2 linked regions of the Oreochromis niloticus genome follow. The protein of the gene in region 2 purifies or fractionates together with the protein of the main gene of each other region. This does not show direct contact. Links are inferred from orthologs where the notes say so. Each region holds a gene or a part of one and is shown on either strand. Other genes may lie near its edges.

What was found.
Region 1: the proteins of sgsh (region 2) and sumf1 purify together in Homo sapiens (co-immunoprecipitation; 3 studies listed by BioGRID and IntAct, with this or other methods). This does not show direct contact. The link is inferred for Oreochromis niloticus from reciprocal best matches to the Homo sapiens genes SGSH and SUMF1.

Annotation. Positions count from the first base shown.
Region 1 is NC_031970.2:23,904,343-23,912,546, reverse strand, and holds the start of sumf1 (formylglycine-generating enzyme), read right to left. Parts: upstream 3,008-8,204; 5' UTR 2,867-3,007; coding exon 2,549-2,866; intron 1,961-2,548; coding exon 1,787-1,960; intron 1,684-1,786; coding exon 1,609-1,683; intron 1-1,608. Other genes in the region: inositol 1,4,5-trisphosphate receptor type 1, read left to right, coding at 4,338-4,429, 7,075-7,145.
Region 2 is NC_031971.2:32,474,831-32,482,737, reverse strand, and holds the start of sgsh (N-sulfoglucosamine sulfohydrolase), read right to left. Parts: upstream 3,049-7,907; 5' UTR 2,909-3,048; coding exon 2,824-2,908; intron 1,340-2,823; coding exon 1,179-1,339; intron 1,101-1,178; coding exon 995-1,100; intron 905-994; coding exon 528-904; intron 1-527. Other genes in the region: slc26a11 (sodium-independent sulfate anion transporter), read left to right, coding at 4,029-4,232, 4,377-4,569, 6,100-6,185, 7,728-7,907. UniProt on the Homo sapiens protein: Catalyzes a step in lysosomal heparan sulfate degradation.

The DNA of each region.
Region 1 (8,204 bases), on a different chromosome or scaffold from region 2:
TATGCATGTACAGATGCAAATATGTATATATACATATATGTATGTATGTGCGTGTATGTTTGCAGGTGTATGTATAACTTGTACATATCTTTCTTGTGTAAATGTAAATTTGTCTATTATTGTGTAATTACTTACGCTATTGTGTACTCCACACACATGGAGAGATGCCAAACTGCCTTTCACTGTTCTTGTAACAGTGACAATAAAAAGCTATTATAAGCAGCAGTAATTAGTGAAGTTATTGTTATTGTGCCATATGGGTAAATGTGTGGAATCCTCTAGGTTTGAGGGTCATACAGAAGACTTCTATAGGTAAACCTGTCAAGCTGTAGGTATTTAATGAACACACAGTGAAAACTAGAAACATCAGGAAGCACCAAACACCAGTCTCTTGGAAATGTTCTGTCCAAAGCCACAAAAACTATCTTTAGCATGCTCTAAAGTTCATAGACTCATGTTGCTGCTGAAGTGTGGTAAAAGTCTTCGGTCCTGTGTGCAGAAAAATAAAAAAATACTGGAAGCTGCCAGTGCTACCCCTCAGCCTCCTAGTAAATACACCTAAAATATCAACTTAAAATTCCTACATTGCTTGTTTCTCTGCATTTACAGACTTGTGTATTCACGCCACCTGCCTGCCCACCTGGCGGGGTGACGACAGTACCCCATCAACCTTTTACAGCTGACAGGTAAAAACTGTTTAAGGTGACTTTCCATGAAGGAGGTGCTTTAAGGCTTCTTCCTATTTGGCATGATATTTTGATTTTTGCAAAGCACAAGACTGTAGGTGAAACTGTCACATGCCGAAGAACTGGATTATCAAGCCTCTGGGCGTTTGATAAACAAATTAGCCACATTTTGTCATGCAGCAAGCTAACATTAGGATTTTCCATCCGTTGTGGGGACCCTGACATCAAAAATAAAGCCGATCCACTGTGTCCTCAGATTCAGAGCATGCATAAAGACTCCTGTGTTTACTCTTTTGCTGCCAACAACAGAAAATTTGGCGTGCTTTTCTTGTGACTGGGACATTTTAGAGTGAGAGAAGTGGCTCAAAAAAGGGTGGACTGCTCATACTTTGGTTTGAGGGCATATAAAATAGCCACAAGGTAGGCATCATGAAAATGTGACATAGAGAACTCAAAGGAGAAAAGCATGGGGTTCAAATGAGACTTTTGACCTAGCTCAGCATCAGTGTTGTTTGTGGGAGAGAAAAACTCCCTTTGGGAACTTTAGCTACATGTACTTACATGAACAAAAAAGCTTTTTACACATAAACATTTACAGACATCTAAACACAGCATAAAAGTCTGTGAGGTTACATTTATTACAACACTTAATATTTAATGTTGTCTACTAAACACAGTGTGTGAACTTGGACCTCTAGTCCTGCAAGCTACCGATATCTAAGTGTAAGCAATAAATAGTTTGTTAGATTGTTGCATAAGTGCAAACTAATGTAGAGCGCGTCTTTCACTGTGTGCTCGTTTTGTGCAGTGAAATCGAAAGTATGACATGTAGCCTGCACATGTCTTCCTTCAAAGCTACAACTGATGTAGCATGTAAAAAGTGAGCTGCACAGGTAAGTCGCCTGCTCAGTGGTACACTTACTGCTTGAGTGATTTGGCTTTTCACTGGCTCGCTCAAAAGTCCCTCAAAAACAAACGAGTCTCCAAATTTCTCTGCCTAAAAATCAGAAAAGACAGATTTTATGGGCAAAAAACAACACCAGGATAGTGAAAACCACTCACAGAAAAATATGGTTTAATTTTTAAATATTTTTTAACACCTCAGTCACATATCCTGTCGCAAGGACGAAGCTCTGAAACTGTTGGTTAGTGACTTCATGGATGTCCATGTTGAAGGAGTCCACATACACGAGTCTCTGGGGGCCCTCGCCGTCTGGGGGGATGCCTGGGTTGTCTGTTCCCATCAGGAACTCCCCTCCAGAAATCTGCACCATCTGCACAGAACAAGTACATTTTTTATTTACATATGCAAACAAACTGTGCTATAAACTGGAATGTAGATTCAGGATTAATAACTCTTACAAGATCATAACAACCAATAAAGAACACAATAAAACAATGAAGATCTATAATATATCTAGTAATAATCTAAGGTATTAGCCACCTACAAATAATAGAAATAACAGTAGAAATAAAAAATATGACACCAGAGTGCCACAAACGTGCAGCCTTAAGAGGGTAACTTACAGGAAACAAAGGCTAGGCTGTCACACTTCCTGCTTCTGCATTCAAGTCATATTTACAGCACATGGTGTTATGGTTTATTTAAACACACAACTAAAATTAGCACATATGTGGACACAATTTTGCAACCATTGGTTTTGGTGTTAATCGACAGATCTGTGTTGCAGCTGATTGGCTACAAGGCCTTGCTTATGCATGGGAACCTCAGGAGGCCTAATAGTTCCAAGAACGATTAGATTCGACTTTGGTAACTACTTTATGACATTTTGCACGCATAACCTTATCTCCACACTCTCACAAAATAGCGGTGTTTTTCTGTAACAGGAGTCGCAACATACCGGACTTTGTGTTTCCCGCTCATCGTCCTGCACCTGATTCGTCCTGTCATTTGCGTCTTTGGAGTATTTGAGAGCAGGGTCTGTGGAAGCTGCTTTACCCTCATCCTCGTCCAAGGGGTCCACAGCTGGAGCGTCTCTAGTCAGCTTATCACAGCCGCAGCCCGCCCCTCTTTCCACGCCTGGAGGTTCCTGCTCTGCGCTACATGAACTCTGAAGACACAACACTTTGCTCACACATCCAAATATGAACAATAGGGTGAAATAACGCAGCATTTTGATATTTTTTTTATTCCAAGGCACAGCCCAGGGTCCGTGCATGCTGTTGACACTGTTACTTCCGTAAAGTCACGTGGTCAGTCAGCTGGCTACAGTGTAACAAAACGTAACCCTTTCCTTCCCGAAGTGAATGTTTGCTGTGGAATAAATTCTGTTAATCCACAAAAACACTGCAAATTCTGATCATGGCTCGCAAATATAGCTACATTCGGTTGTGATGATATTAATAAAATCGCTTATTTGAAATACACTTCAATGACTTATTCGCCCAAAATCACACAGATTTTTGACCTTTCTGTTTTTTACATAAAAAAGACTTCTTCTTAGCCGTATAAATCTGGGCAGCGCAGTAGCAGTAGTGATAAAACAGCTCAGATTTTCTTAGCGGTAGGATGGGGCGACGTGGACATCATTTCCCAGCTATCAACACTACGGCCGCTTGAGAAGAAGTGGAAGTGAGCCAGGCAGTTCAACCAGCCAGTGCCTGCCTGCCTCAGTGAGCACAAGCTGCGGGAGCACCGAGAGGCGCGGAAAGGTGTCCGAGCTGTCAAAAAACTGGATTATTACAGTCGCTGACGCCTGGATCTCACCCCCCGACCCGGTGGAGAGGAGAACCGCAGTCATGTTGTCTTAGCTGGCCCAGAGAAAGCTAAATATCCGAGCACAGCCGAGGTAAAGTTGAGAGCATAACTTGAGCAGTTTGCCATCCTCCTCCTTTCATATCTCTATCTTCTCGCAGCGGAGAAGGGAAAAAAAGGATTTAGTTCTCCTTAAATGGTTAAAAAACCACTCAGAGCTCAAAAGCGGCGCTTTGTAGTGAATAATAATTTTTTTTAAAGAGAAGCCCAACAAGATTGTATCACGGTCGGATGGATCTTACGCCGATAATGATTTCGGGCTGCTGTGAAGCAATGTGATAGTGAGCCGCGATTACAATGCTAACGCTGGATGTGCTTTCTCAAGTTTCGCTGGCGCTTCGGTGCTTAGATGAAGAAGATCCGAGCTTTTGCTGTGTGATCGTTTGGTCGGGCTTGTAACAGACGGCGGTCGGAAAGCCACCAGAATAACTTGTTATGGGGCTTTATCGACCTCACTGAGAGGCAGTGCTTTAAAAAAAGAAAAAAGAAAAACACACAGGCAGATAACCTGAGTGGAGGGGACCTGCATTGCTCTCTATCAGCTTTTAGTGGCCATGACCTGTTGCAGGTGCATAAACCTTGTTGGCAGCTGCAGCTCCTAAACATATAAGGCGCAACACAACACCAGCGGGGCTACAGTAATAAACATTTTCTCTTCCTCTCTATGCAAATCCTTGCAGCCAGACAGTTGTGTTAGTGTAGTCTCCACCTAGGGAACCCGCTCTCTCAAACCTGCTTCTAACTTGGAACTATTAATTTGCGTATGGATACTGAATAAATGCATGATGGTATGTGTCCATGACAGGCATGTTATATCAAATGATCTAATAATATCCATATTTTCTCCCATACAGGTGCTCCCTTGTGTGCCAAACATGTCGGACAAAATGTCCAGTTTCCTACACATTGGGGACATCTGCTCCCTGTATGCAGAGGGATCAACCAATGGTTTCATCAGCACCCTAGGGTATGTCCCTGTGCCTGTGTGGAGGGCCCACTTCACACTTTTCTTAAAAAATGCTGCTCAGTCACGATACTGAGCCAGCAGTTTTTTTTGGAAGGGAGGAAATCACACTTGTAGTAGCAACTGTTAACCATTTTGATGACAAAGTCGAGAACAAGCACATTTCTTCCTTTTAGTCCGATGCCTGTGTATGCACATGTTTGCTTACACGCAGCGACAGGGTCATCATTTGGTCCCAGAATGGGATTAAGTAGTTAATGTAATTTTGTGCAACAAATATGCAGATAATGATAAAGTCTGGGGCAGGCCTGGGTTGTAAGGGTAGAGTTAGAAGACAATAAATGGTCTGGTGGTACTGTTGGCAAGCCACTCATTTGCCCACACAGTCACAGCATTAATGTATTGTTTTCCTCCATCAATTCTCCTTACTTGTAAAATGCGTGTTTTTGATATGGTCTATCTGTTGGGATTACTTATACTGGCTTACTGCTTGAAATGCTGGCCTTAGGATATGACAGAAATATCACAAGCGCAGTAAGATTCAGTTGTGCTGCTTTAACCTCTCCCCTTTGTTCTGAATGTAAACAAAGCAACAAGAGAAAGTTTGCATTAATGTTTTTGCTTGTATAAACCACCCGGAAATCACAAGACGGTAAACCATGGCGTTTAGCATTAGTAATGGTATCAGGGCTATCTGCTCAGTGTCCTGGACCTCCCCTCCTGGCTCATGAAAAATGGAATGACCCACAGCGAAGACTGAGTCACTATAGAGACATTGTGGCCTTTCTGGAGTTCATGTGCTTCCCACATAAACACACACGCACATGCACACGCACACGCACACGCTAGCACATGTATTTAGAAAATTGTCATGACAGTTTTGGCCTGAAGCCATCCTCTCCACGCATAAACACCAACTCAGCAGCATTCTCCAGATCAACTGCCCTTAAAGTAAGACACCATACTCAGAAAATTCTGTACATATTAACACTTTTTCTTCACCCAAATAGCAGTCCAAGTCGGCAGCTGCAGAGGGGAGGGGGTTATATGAGCAAATGAAAGGCTACATTTTTCTCTTTCCCTTTTTTTTTTTTTTTTTTTTTTGAAAATGCTGCTGTGTGCAGTGAGTATTTAGCAGGACCCGTCTTGTTTGTGCAGAGGTGTAACTATTAAACTTGTGTTAATAACTGACCAATGTGAAAGTCAAGTTGCGTAAAGCAGCAACACATGCTCATACTACCCACAGGTGGGTGACAAATTAAAGACGACCCCCCCATCTTAAATGCAGTAAGGAGTTTTGATGCCAGATTAACTTCAGCAGAGCTTAGCACTGATTCAGTAAGACTCCACCATGTTTCCAAAAGATACTCCCTCATTTTGTGTTTTGACAATGCTGGTGGTGAAAACTGACTAACATGTTGATCCAAAGGCTAATTCTGGTAGTAAATTAGGTTTAGATCTGGTGACTGCAAAGGTCAGCGCATGTGATTCATGTTATTTTCAGCAACAACTTTGTGTCGATTTGCATTCAGTATTCCTTCTAAGGGGTCAGGGAGATTAGAGCTTCCACAGTATAATGGAGCAATCGAATGCCCTCACTGTAGAGGTGAAAAGTTTTTCCTTTAATTTGTCACTCTGCTGTTATTTGTCCTAACACGCACAGATATTTTCGCCCTTTGTAGTCTGTCTTGTTCCTCGAGATGTGCAGGCTGATGGAACAGTGAGATCTGTTTGGGCAACTTCAGAAGGCTGAAAGTGGATGTGGGATTTGGCCTGTGTCCAGACAAGTGTTATTCTAAGCCAGTGAAAGCTAAATTTGTCACCAGAAATTCCTGTCTGGCCACTGGTCATTTAATCCAGAATATTTCCTTATTTTGTGGAAGGGGAGGCTAAAACATGCTGCAACTATGTAAAGCTCCCAGATAATTCATGAAACAAAAGTAGAGTTTTGCAGGCACATGCACAGGCACATGCACGGGCTTTTGTTGGAAATGCTTTTTTGCCTGAGTCTCACACACACAGAAAGCTTAAACACAAACCCACAGGAATGATGAATTGCAGTGACTCTGATATCCAAGAACAATGACAATCTTAGTACCTCTGCAGAAATGTTGACCAATTTTGCTGAGTTGTAGTTCTGAAAATGTGGTGTTGATCAATTTGACTGTCTCAGTATTATGAACTCTTTGTTCCTCCTGGCCTTTTGCAATGATTTTTCCAATCAGTGCTGTCCTGTAAAATTATTAATCAAACACACTCAACTGATGCAGTGTTTTTGAAATTAGGTTGCAACTGGCACTTTTTCTTTTTAAATTAAGCAGTGTCTAAATATTTTTTGTACCAATTGATTCATTTTGCGCTCTAGAAATATCACAAACATCAAAATGGCTTAATTGCAGATAATTTAATTTTTGTTAAAATGGTCCAAACTTCATAAACATTCAGCTCACTATAATAGAAGAATAAGAAAATGACTGCATATTTATTGGAGTCTTGTTTAAAAAAACAACTTTAAACGTGAACTTAACTATTCCTCATTGCTGCTATGGTTGTTATGCTTGGGGCTTTGTCAGCTTTGTCATGGTAACTTGGGATATGATCTTATTATATGTATAGCGCTTACATGTGTCATGTGTCCATATTTACAGCCTGGTGGATGACCGCTGCGTCGTCCAGCCCGATGCTGGGGACCTCAACAACCCGCCGAAGAAGTTCAGAGGTAAGAGGAGCAAATTAATCTCCCCTCTTCCTCGTGACACTCCTCCTCATAGCACTAACTGCTATCTGTTTATACTGTGAAGCATGTAAGACCTGCTGCTGAATGTGTTATGCTGTGTTTCTTTGGTGACAGCCACAATATCTCAATATCTCAGCCCACTGGACTTCAAACAGGCCTGCCTTTGTCATTGTTAACCGTGTGTGTGTGTGTGTTATGCATCCATGTATGCATTTATTAGCTGTGTGCCCTAGCTCGCACAGGTCTGTGGAGGTAGAGGCAGATGGAGAGAGTCATCTCTGCTGCTGATTTGTTGAAAAAAAACACCCACTTGAGAATCTGTTTTCTAAATAAAAATCCTTCAGCTGTGTCTTTGCGTGAATTTGCTATTATTAGTTCTCATACAGGAAGTAGAACTCGTGACCTACAGTTCTCAGGCTAGAGGTTTATGTCCCTTGGGGAGGGCTGGCTAAACATTGTACACAGAATATGATTGAAGGCCTGTGCAGTCACAGGCACTGGTACACATTCATAAGAAAAGTGCACTTTAGCTTGCTGCTGCTGGATGAAATAAAAAAAAATGTAATACAGCTAGACCGTTGGTAGAGCTTCAACCGCATATACAGATTTTAATTTTAATTTAATTTAAGTTTTTTAAGGGAGAAATGTAGTCGTCCTTGGTTCTTTGTTTTCCTTGGCAATTCAAAGTAATTTTATCGGCCATTTCTATAAAAGCGTAAAAAAAGAAAGTGATTACAGCCTTTCAGCATTGTACTTTTTGAGCATATAAGACATATGAGTACTTATCCATTTGAATTATTATATTTGTCTTTTAGTTCTTAACTTTCCCATTTCGAGTATATAATACAGATGCATTTGCAGCTGTGAGAATAGGGCCAAACACTGTCTTGGGGATCATAAAACATTCATTAGACTGAATACCCGTGTAATTATAGTCAGATCTACCTGTTCTTTAGCAATGCAGCAGTGATACCGATAAGTCTATTAACTTACAAAGTTGCAGCGTTTGACATGTTTTCTTCCTGGGCTTGATTTCAGCTA
Region 2 (7,907 bases):
GGTGATGGTTCTGTGATGGTCTGGGGAAGCATATTTATGCAGGGATGCAGAGACTTCTACAGGCTAGGCAACGGCACACGCAGTTCAATGGCACAGTGGTTCCTGGGTTTCTCCAGTTGCACGACAAAGCCTGGCTTCATGTGGCGAGAGTATGCATGCACTTCCTGAAGTAACTGATGCCACCGACTGGGCCCCTTGTTTGCCTGACCTAAATCCAATAGAACAACTCTGGTATGTTATGTTTTAAGCTATCTGATGCTGCCAGGTTACACCTCAGACCATCTATGAGCTCAGTGATGTCCGGGTCCAGATCTGGAGATCAGGAAATTCCCCATGATACCATCTACCATCTCAGTAGGAGCATGCCCCGACACTGTCAGGCATGTATACAACAATGTCAGCCGCTGCAATGAAATTTCAGCAAAATGGACTAGCCTGCTTTGATTTTTATAGCCTTTTTCTTTTTAAAACAGTAAAATAATGACATAAAACAGATAGATTAAAGTAGAAACTGGGATTTCTCTGACCTTTACTTGGTCTGGTGTGTAATACTGTGGTGTCCAGTCAGGGATTCTACCCATCTCCTTTTCACCATTCCCAAACTTCTCACAGAAAGCTCCGTATTGGGGCTGCGAGTGTCCACATCGATGAGTATCATGGAAGGCAACATAAAGGAAAAATGGCCTCTCTTCACTCTTTATATTCTCCCGGTTACTTTCTTCTGCTTTTTCCCCGTTCTTTCGTTGAAAGGCTTCCTCTTTGTGAGTCTGGAAAAACTTGCGGACCAGGAGTTTAATGCGAGTGATGTTCCTCCCCACCTGGAGGACAGAGCTGTTTTCCTCTGTGTAGGCAAAGTCAAAGGGGTAAACAGATCCAGGGCCAACATGCTTCTTTCCAATTATACCTGTGAAGAAAGAATCAGTGAGTTTAAAAAGTAAAAAATAAGAAAGATTTATTTATAGACATGAGAAAAACGGGTCATTTTGTTATCTACCTGTGTGTACGTTGGTTTGTTTGAGAAGCAGCGGCAGACTTTGTACTTCATCAAAAGAATTAAAGTGATGGACTCCTTGATGAAGTCCATAAATGCCATTCTGATGCTGGAAACCACAAGAGAAACACACCTCAATAATTCACATCGCTTTAATGAGAGGCATTCACAGGTGTGTGTGTCTCACCTGTGGCAGGCCGGTGAGGATGGCGGAGCGGCTGGGTGAGCAGCTGCTGACAGATGTGAAGGCGTTCTTGAACACCACGCTGCGCTGAGCCAGAGAGCGCAGGTGAGGCGTGTGGACCACAGAGTTGTTATAAACCTCTGTCTCGAAACCTGCATCATCAGCTGTGAGGAGGAGGAAAAGACAGAAACTGATGCGGGAGCTCAAACAAAATGCCCATAACTGACTTTTAATCATCTCTAAAATCTTTGGCATCTACATACTGCTTTGCAAAGTCAGTAGGGTAATGAAACCTGGCTTTAAGTCACAATTCCAGTTCTTCTCAGAAGTACAGGATGGGTTTAAGGTTGGGGTTTAGTGCAGAGGATTTAAGTAGGAAAAGTGTTTCTTGATGGATCAGGCTTCATGTAAAGAGACACTGACATTTTTCTTTTTCCCGGAGTATAGTTTTAATTTTTTTTCCAATTCTCTGGCATTTTCTGACAGATCATTTTAGATTAGTTTTACTTTAAACATATTCCTTTATAGAATATTTGTACGATAATAAAAATCTACTTGCATGAAGGTTAAAACATTCAGAAAAACATCCGGCTCAAGATTGTAACACACAAACCGACTTCTGCCTCATATTTAGTTTGTTTGGATTTGGTCAACTTAATTATTTTATGTTATGGAGAGAGGTTCTACTAATAAACAAAATAAAAGCAACTGCCTAAAACAGTTATAACCTCTATCATGCACTTTCAGTACTGTGCAAATCTTGTGCCTCTACTTATTTCTTTATACAGAGTTTATACAATCCAAAAAGTCAATATTTGGTATGACTATCCTTTTTCTTCAACACAGCCTGAACTGTCTTGGGCAAGCTTTCTTGTAATTCTTTTTGAGCAGTCTTCAGGAATCGTTCTCCAGGCTTCTTGAAGGACATTCAAAGCTGTTCTTTTGCACTGTTCCCTATCACTATAATGATAAAGTCTCTGGGGAGGCCAATCCATGACTGATGGTACTCCAGTATGTGTTTTTCTATCCAGGCATGCTTTCACTGCATTGTCAGTGCATTTGGGATCATTTGATCATCCTGAAATATTAAAGCTGTTTTTAGTAAGATGCTTTCTGCATCCATCTCTGTGTCCATCAGTTTTTATGATCCCCAGCTGCAGCCCCAAACCATGACAGAGCCTGCCCTGATACAGATAGCTGTAGACACTCGCTGTTGTACCTCTCTCCTGATCTTCTCTTTACATACTAACAATGATTTGAACCAACAATCTCAAATTTGGATTCATATGTGGATTCAATATGGAGAAAATACTGTTACTGCTGATTTTCAGTTCAATTCTTGTGTAATTTGGTGTACCTTAGCCTTTTCCCCATTTCGCTTTCATTAATCATTAATGCTGAAGATAGTTTTTTTTTTTTAAGCCTGCCACTTTTGAGTGGATTGAAAATGAGTGAACAAGCAGCCAATGTCCAATGAAAATCTTCGGGAACTATTGAACCTCAGTTATATAACGAATTAAAGGGTGGCTCGAGATTTTTGCACAGAATTGTAATGGCAACAGGAGGGTATATTTCAGCATTTTAAATTTCCAGCCATATAACAGAAAGGATTTATAGTTTCTCCAGGAGCACAAAAACGTGAACTCACCAATTATTAGAAGCACATTTCTTGTTTTGGACTCTCCGATGCAACATGATGCTAAAAAAATAAGACAGACAACCCGAGGGAGCATGTTGACCTCTTCCTCTATTTCTCCACAGAAAAATAAACTTTAAATATGAAAATAAAACTCGCTAAAGTTAGCACTTAAAGGCACCGTTGGAACGCCGTGAAACATGCTTCCTCAAACAACTCAAACCCCGCCCACTTGGAGTCACATGACACAAGTCACGTGAGGAGAAAAAGAAACAACAGGAAACGACTTGTCTCGCGCCTAGTCAGCGAAATGTTTTTGGGGAAGTGGGTTTAGCAGAAGGAACAGTAGAGAAAGACGTGAAAAATCACAGCCCAGCCAAGAGAAAGCATCACGCTGTGTAAGAATTTATGTTTTATTCTATTTTATTTAGTCTTTTCTACTTTATTTTGGTCTGTTCTGGTCTATTTTAGTCTATTTTGGTTCAGTTCGGTTAAACACTGTGGAGTTATTTTATATTATATGGTCAAATTTGTATTTTATTCTGTTTTGTTTCCATTCTGTAGTATACGAATTCAGTCTCTTTTGTGCATTCTTCTCTCTTGCACTCAAACACATCACTGTTTTTAGTTTGTTATCATTATTTTTTGATAATTACAAGGTTGTTATAGTCTGGGTAACATAGACTCATAATCAGACACAGTGGGAGATAAAGTATCAGTCTGAGGTCACGTAAGACTGTGGGCCTGTTGGACTTTCCTGATGAGGAAGTTTATAGTTTGAAGGTAAAGGTGACTTCATGAAAAAAAACATGTCCTGACTGTTCAGATACAGATATGCAAAGCACCCAGCTGTCATATGATCGTCATATGATTGTAAATGACACACAGTGAGCTTGTGAATGTTTTTTTTTTTTTTTGTGGCATGCAGATCACAGCATGCACCTGAAGATATGTCCTCGGCTTGAAGAAATGCAAACAAACAGGTCGACACCTGCTTGCATGAGCAGCATCTTTGTGGCGTTTTCCTGAATGCTGCATATCTCAGCAGGAGGTAGGAAATAAAAGGAAAAAACAGGAACCTGAGCAGCACCCAGCAAAGCTGAGGGGAGAACTCACGCTTTGTGTGAGTGGCTTTTGTTTTGTTCATTTTTATTTTTTTCTGCTACAGATGTCTCTTTGCTGAATTCCTCTCCCGCCGGTCTCAACCTCTAAGTGTGATGGAGCGGCGTCTCATGAGAAGACAGTCAGCCCGGCGCTGCTGTTCCTACAACACCTTGAAGGCCTGGTTGCCCATCCTCTCATGGCTGCCAAAGTACAACCTGAAGTGGCTAAAGATGGACGTCCTCGCGGGTCTCACTGTTGGATTGACGACTGTACCACAAGCGCTGGCTTATGCTGAAGTGGCCGGCCTTCCTGTGCAGGCGAGTCTTAGGCTTTCCTTTAGGGTTCACCTCCTTCTCGATAACTAATTTGGCTTTCCTCTTTTCCTGAGACATGAGCTTTAAGATGAAAAAAATAATTAGCTGCATAATTAGTTCAGACTTTATTTTCTTTTCTGTCCACAGTTCGGACTCTATTCGGCCTTCATGGGGGGGTTCATCTACACCTTTCTGGGAACCTCCAAGGATGTGACCCTGGGCCCCACGGCCATCATGTCCCTCTTATGCTCCTCTGTGGTGGGAGGGGAGCCTCACCGAGCCGTGCTGCTCAGCCTCCTCTGTGGACTCATCCAAGCTGTGATGGCGTTACTGAGATTAGGTGAAATGAGTGCTCCCGAGGTCATGTGGAAAGCTTGCGATTTCAGTTTTGGCTTTTCCTGAATTTATTCAAAAACTTGTGAACCACTGAAAGCAAAACAAAATATTTTTTCACAATAACACACATTTTTGTGTGAGTCTGAGAGCACTGGTAGTTTATCACATTCTCCAGTGTGTAAAATTTAAGGTGAAGTCCAAAAGTAAAAACAACATCACAAAAATCGAGCAACTATCATGTAGGAACTTAAATTTTAGAGGCAGACAGTCTACTATAAAATCTGTGGATCCTAAATAGTCATCTGTTCATCCATTTTATTAACCACATATCCAGTTCAGGGAGCTGGAGCCCCCTCACCGCTTTCATATGACATGACGCAGGATACACCCTGGACAGGGCTGACACACAGAGATAGTTAGCCATTCATGGTCACATTCACATCTAGGGCTACGTTCACACTGCAGGTCTTAATGCTCAATTCCGATTTTTTGATCAAATCCGATTTTTTTGTCTGCTTGTTCACACTACACATAAAATGCGACATCAAACGCTCTCTAGTGTGAACGCTCAAAGCGGCCCGCATGCGCAAAAGATGTCACACACAACTCGCTCTGTTTAGACCCAGAGCAAACAATATTGTTTGACTGATGGCCCTTAATATAAAGACTTCCGACTTTATGTTTCCAGATTTTTGCTTTAAGTTATTTTGTTATTTACATAATAATGTAGATAACCTAATAATGATCCTTTTTGCTGTTTTAGAGGAGCAGTGCTTCAAAGGATAGTTGCAGATTTCTGTCAGAATCTGCAGAAAATACAGTAAAAATAAAATGTTCACATTTCTCCAACATTGTCTTCCCAACAGTTTCACCGGATGGTAGGAAATCGTTCGCGATGTCCTATCGGGCGCTTCTCTATGGAGTTGATAATTGGCGTCTGTCTTGTGTCAGTGACGTAAAAGACGGATTTAATGCGACTTGACCGTTCACACAGCAGTCGCTTTCTAAAACATCGGATATGTATCGGATTCAGTACCACATATGAAAGTGACCCAGATCGGATTTGAAAATATCAGATTTGTGCTGTTCACACTGTCATACCAAGATCGGATACGGGTCGCATAGGGGCGAAAAAATCGGATTTGATGCGCTTTCGCCTGCAGTGTGAACGTAGCCTAGGTTAGGTTTGCCATTACCCGACCAAGCATGTCTTTGGACTGTGGGAGGAAGCTATAGTACCTGGAGCAAACTCCACAGGCACAAGGAGAACATGAGACAAGGTTCATGTTCTCCTTGGCCAGGACCCGATCCAAACTTAATTGTGCTGTGCTTATTTTTGAATGACTTACTAGTCTTGTGTCATTTTACGGTAAAACGGCAATGAATGGGCAGCCTACGAACATGAAAATAAGCTCCTTATCGAATAAGAATTTATATTTTTTTTCTTAAAGAGTTACTGTAATATTTGAAATCTGGAAGGTTATATAATGTCTTGGTCCTATAAATCATCCACTACTTTGCTTCTCTTCTGCAGGTTTCCTTCTGGACTTCATCTCTTTTCCTGTAATAAAAGGCTTCACATGTGCTGCTGCAGTAACTATTGGATTTGGCCAAGTCAAAGTAAGAGTGAAAACATGCACACACAGCAAAAACTAACACACATACATAGTTATCTCAGCATATACAACATATCAAACTGTATGCCTCAGTAGGGAAAAAGTCTTTAAAAGAATGAAAAGCTAAAAAGTGAGTCTTTATTAAAACAGAGCAGAAAGGAAAATATTATAGAAATAAACAGAAGCCAGGATGGAGATGAGACCAGAGAAAACAGGAAGGCATAACAGATGACATAACAAAGAGCAAGGGCCAAACTGAGGGTATAACTGCACCAAGGCAGATTAGGGGAATGTAGAACAGCTGGGCCAAATAAACACAGGTGTAAATAATTGACACAATGAGGCAGGGGAGAAAGTAAGACTAAACACAATGTAAAGGAGACAAAATGGTATCAAAATAAAACAGGAAGAGAGGCACAATAACTAAAAGGGAACTGCAGACAGAACTAGCCTAAACGTAGGGGAACTGGCATAGAAGGAAAAGGTAGGAAACAGTAATTTGAACTAAATGCTCAAGACTGAAATGCTAAGGAGTACACAAGGGTGAAAGTCTAAACCAAAACCAGCAAACTAAAGATAATGAAAAATAAACAGAATTCGAAAAGACCACAAAACACAAAACACTGGGTAAAAGACTCAGAAGCAGTGCAGAAAAATACATTGGAAGCACACAGAATTAAAAAAAATAATCTCTAGAATGATCACAACTAGCTTATTGGCATCTAAGAAAATAGAAAAGTCACCAGAAAGCACCACAATAATGATTTGAGCATTGGGTGGACCAGTGGTTAGTACTGTGCCTCTAAGCTAGAAGGTTGAGTGTTTGAATCCACCTGCTGGGTCCTTTCTGTGTGCAGTTTGCATGTTCTCCTTCTGCCTGCAAAACTCCTTATTGGTGTGTTTTTTACTAGCACAGGCTCTGATGTACATTCCCGCTCTGCTTCAGTCAGGTTCTTGTACTTCTCTGCGGTTTAGTCTCTTAATAAACACTTAAACACAGCAGTCTGCTCTCTACAAACTAAGCACATGGCTTTAATAAATATTTGAAAAGTCCTTGTTAAAACTCTATATTCTGCATCAGTGTTTTTTTATTAATGCAAGTTGAAATCTTTCAGGGCTCACAAACTCATACCTCTCATAAATGTCTGTTTATGTGAAAGCTGCACTTGCTTGCACAAGCATACATAAAATACAATAAAATTGATAGTTGCCTTCAAAATAAGGAAAAAAGTTGTGTTGTGGTTTCCCACAAAATCACACAAACACTAAGACACCCTATCAATCTCCCATTGACCTCATGCAGACAGGTCAAAGATGTGGCCAATGAGCACTATAATCTGTGTTGAGCTTTTACTGGTGGATTTGCATCATTCATTGCTTGTTGGTGAACTGATTAACAATAAATGTTTAGGTTATACTCAAAATTGTATTTTGAGTATAACCTAAACTTGACTGAGTGTGTAAACTCCAAAGAGAGAACTGCTCTTGCCCGCTCCTTTTCCATTCATAAAGTCAGTGGTTTTACCCACTCTTTCTTTTTTTCTAGAATATTCTGGGAATCCAGGGTGTCCCTCAGCAGTTTTTCCTGGAGGTTTACTACACCTTCCACAAGATCCCTGAGGCCAGGATCGGTGATGTGGTTCTTGGTCTGATTTGTCTCGCTCTGCTGGTCACGTTGATGTTCATGAAGTCGAGTCTAACCTCTGACAGTGACTCCACCTGCTCC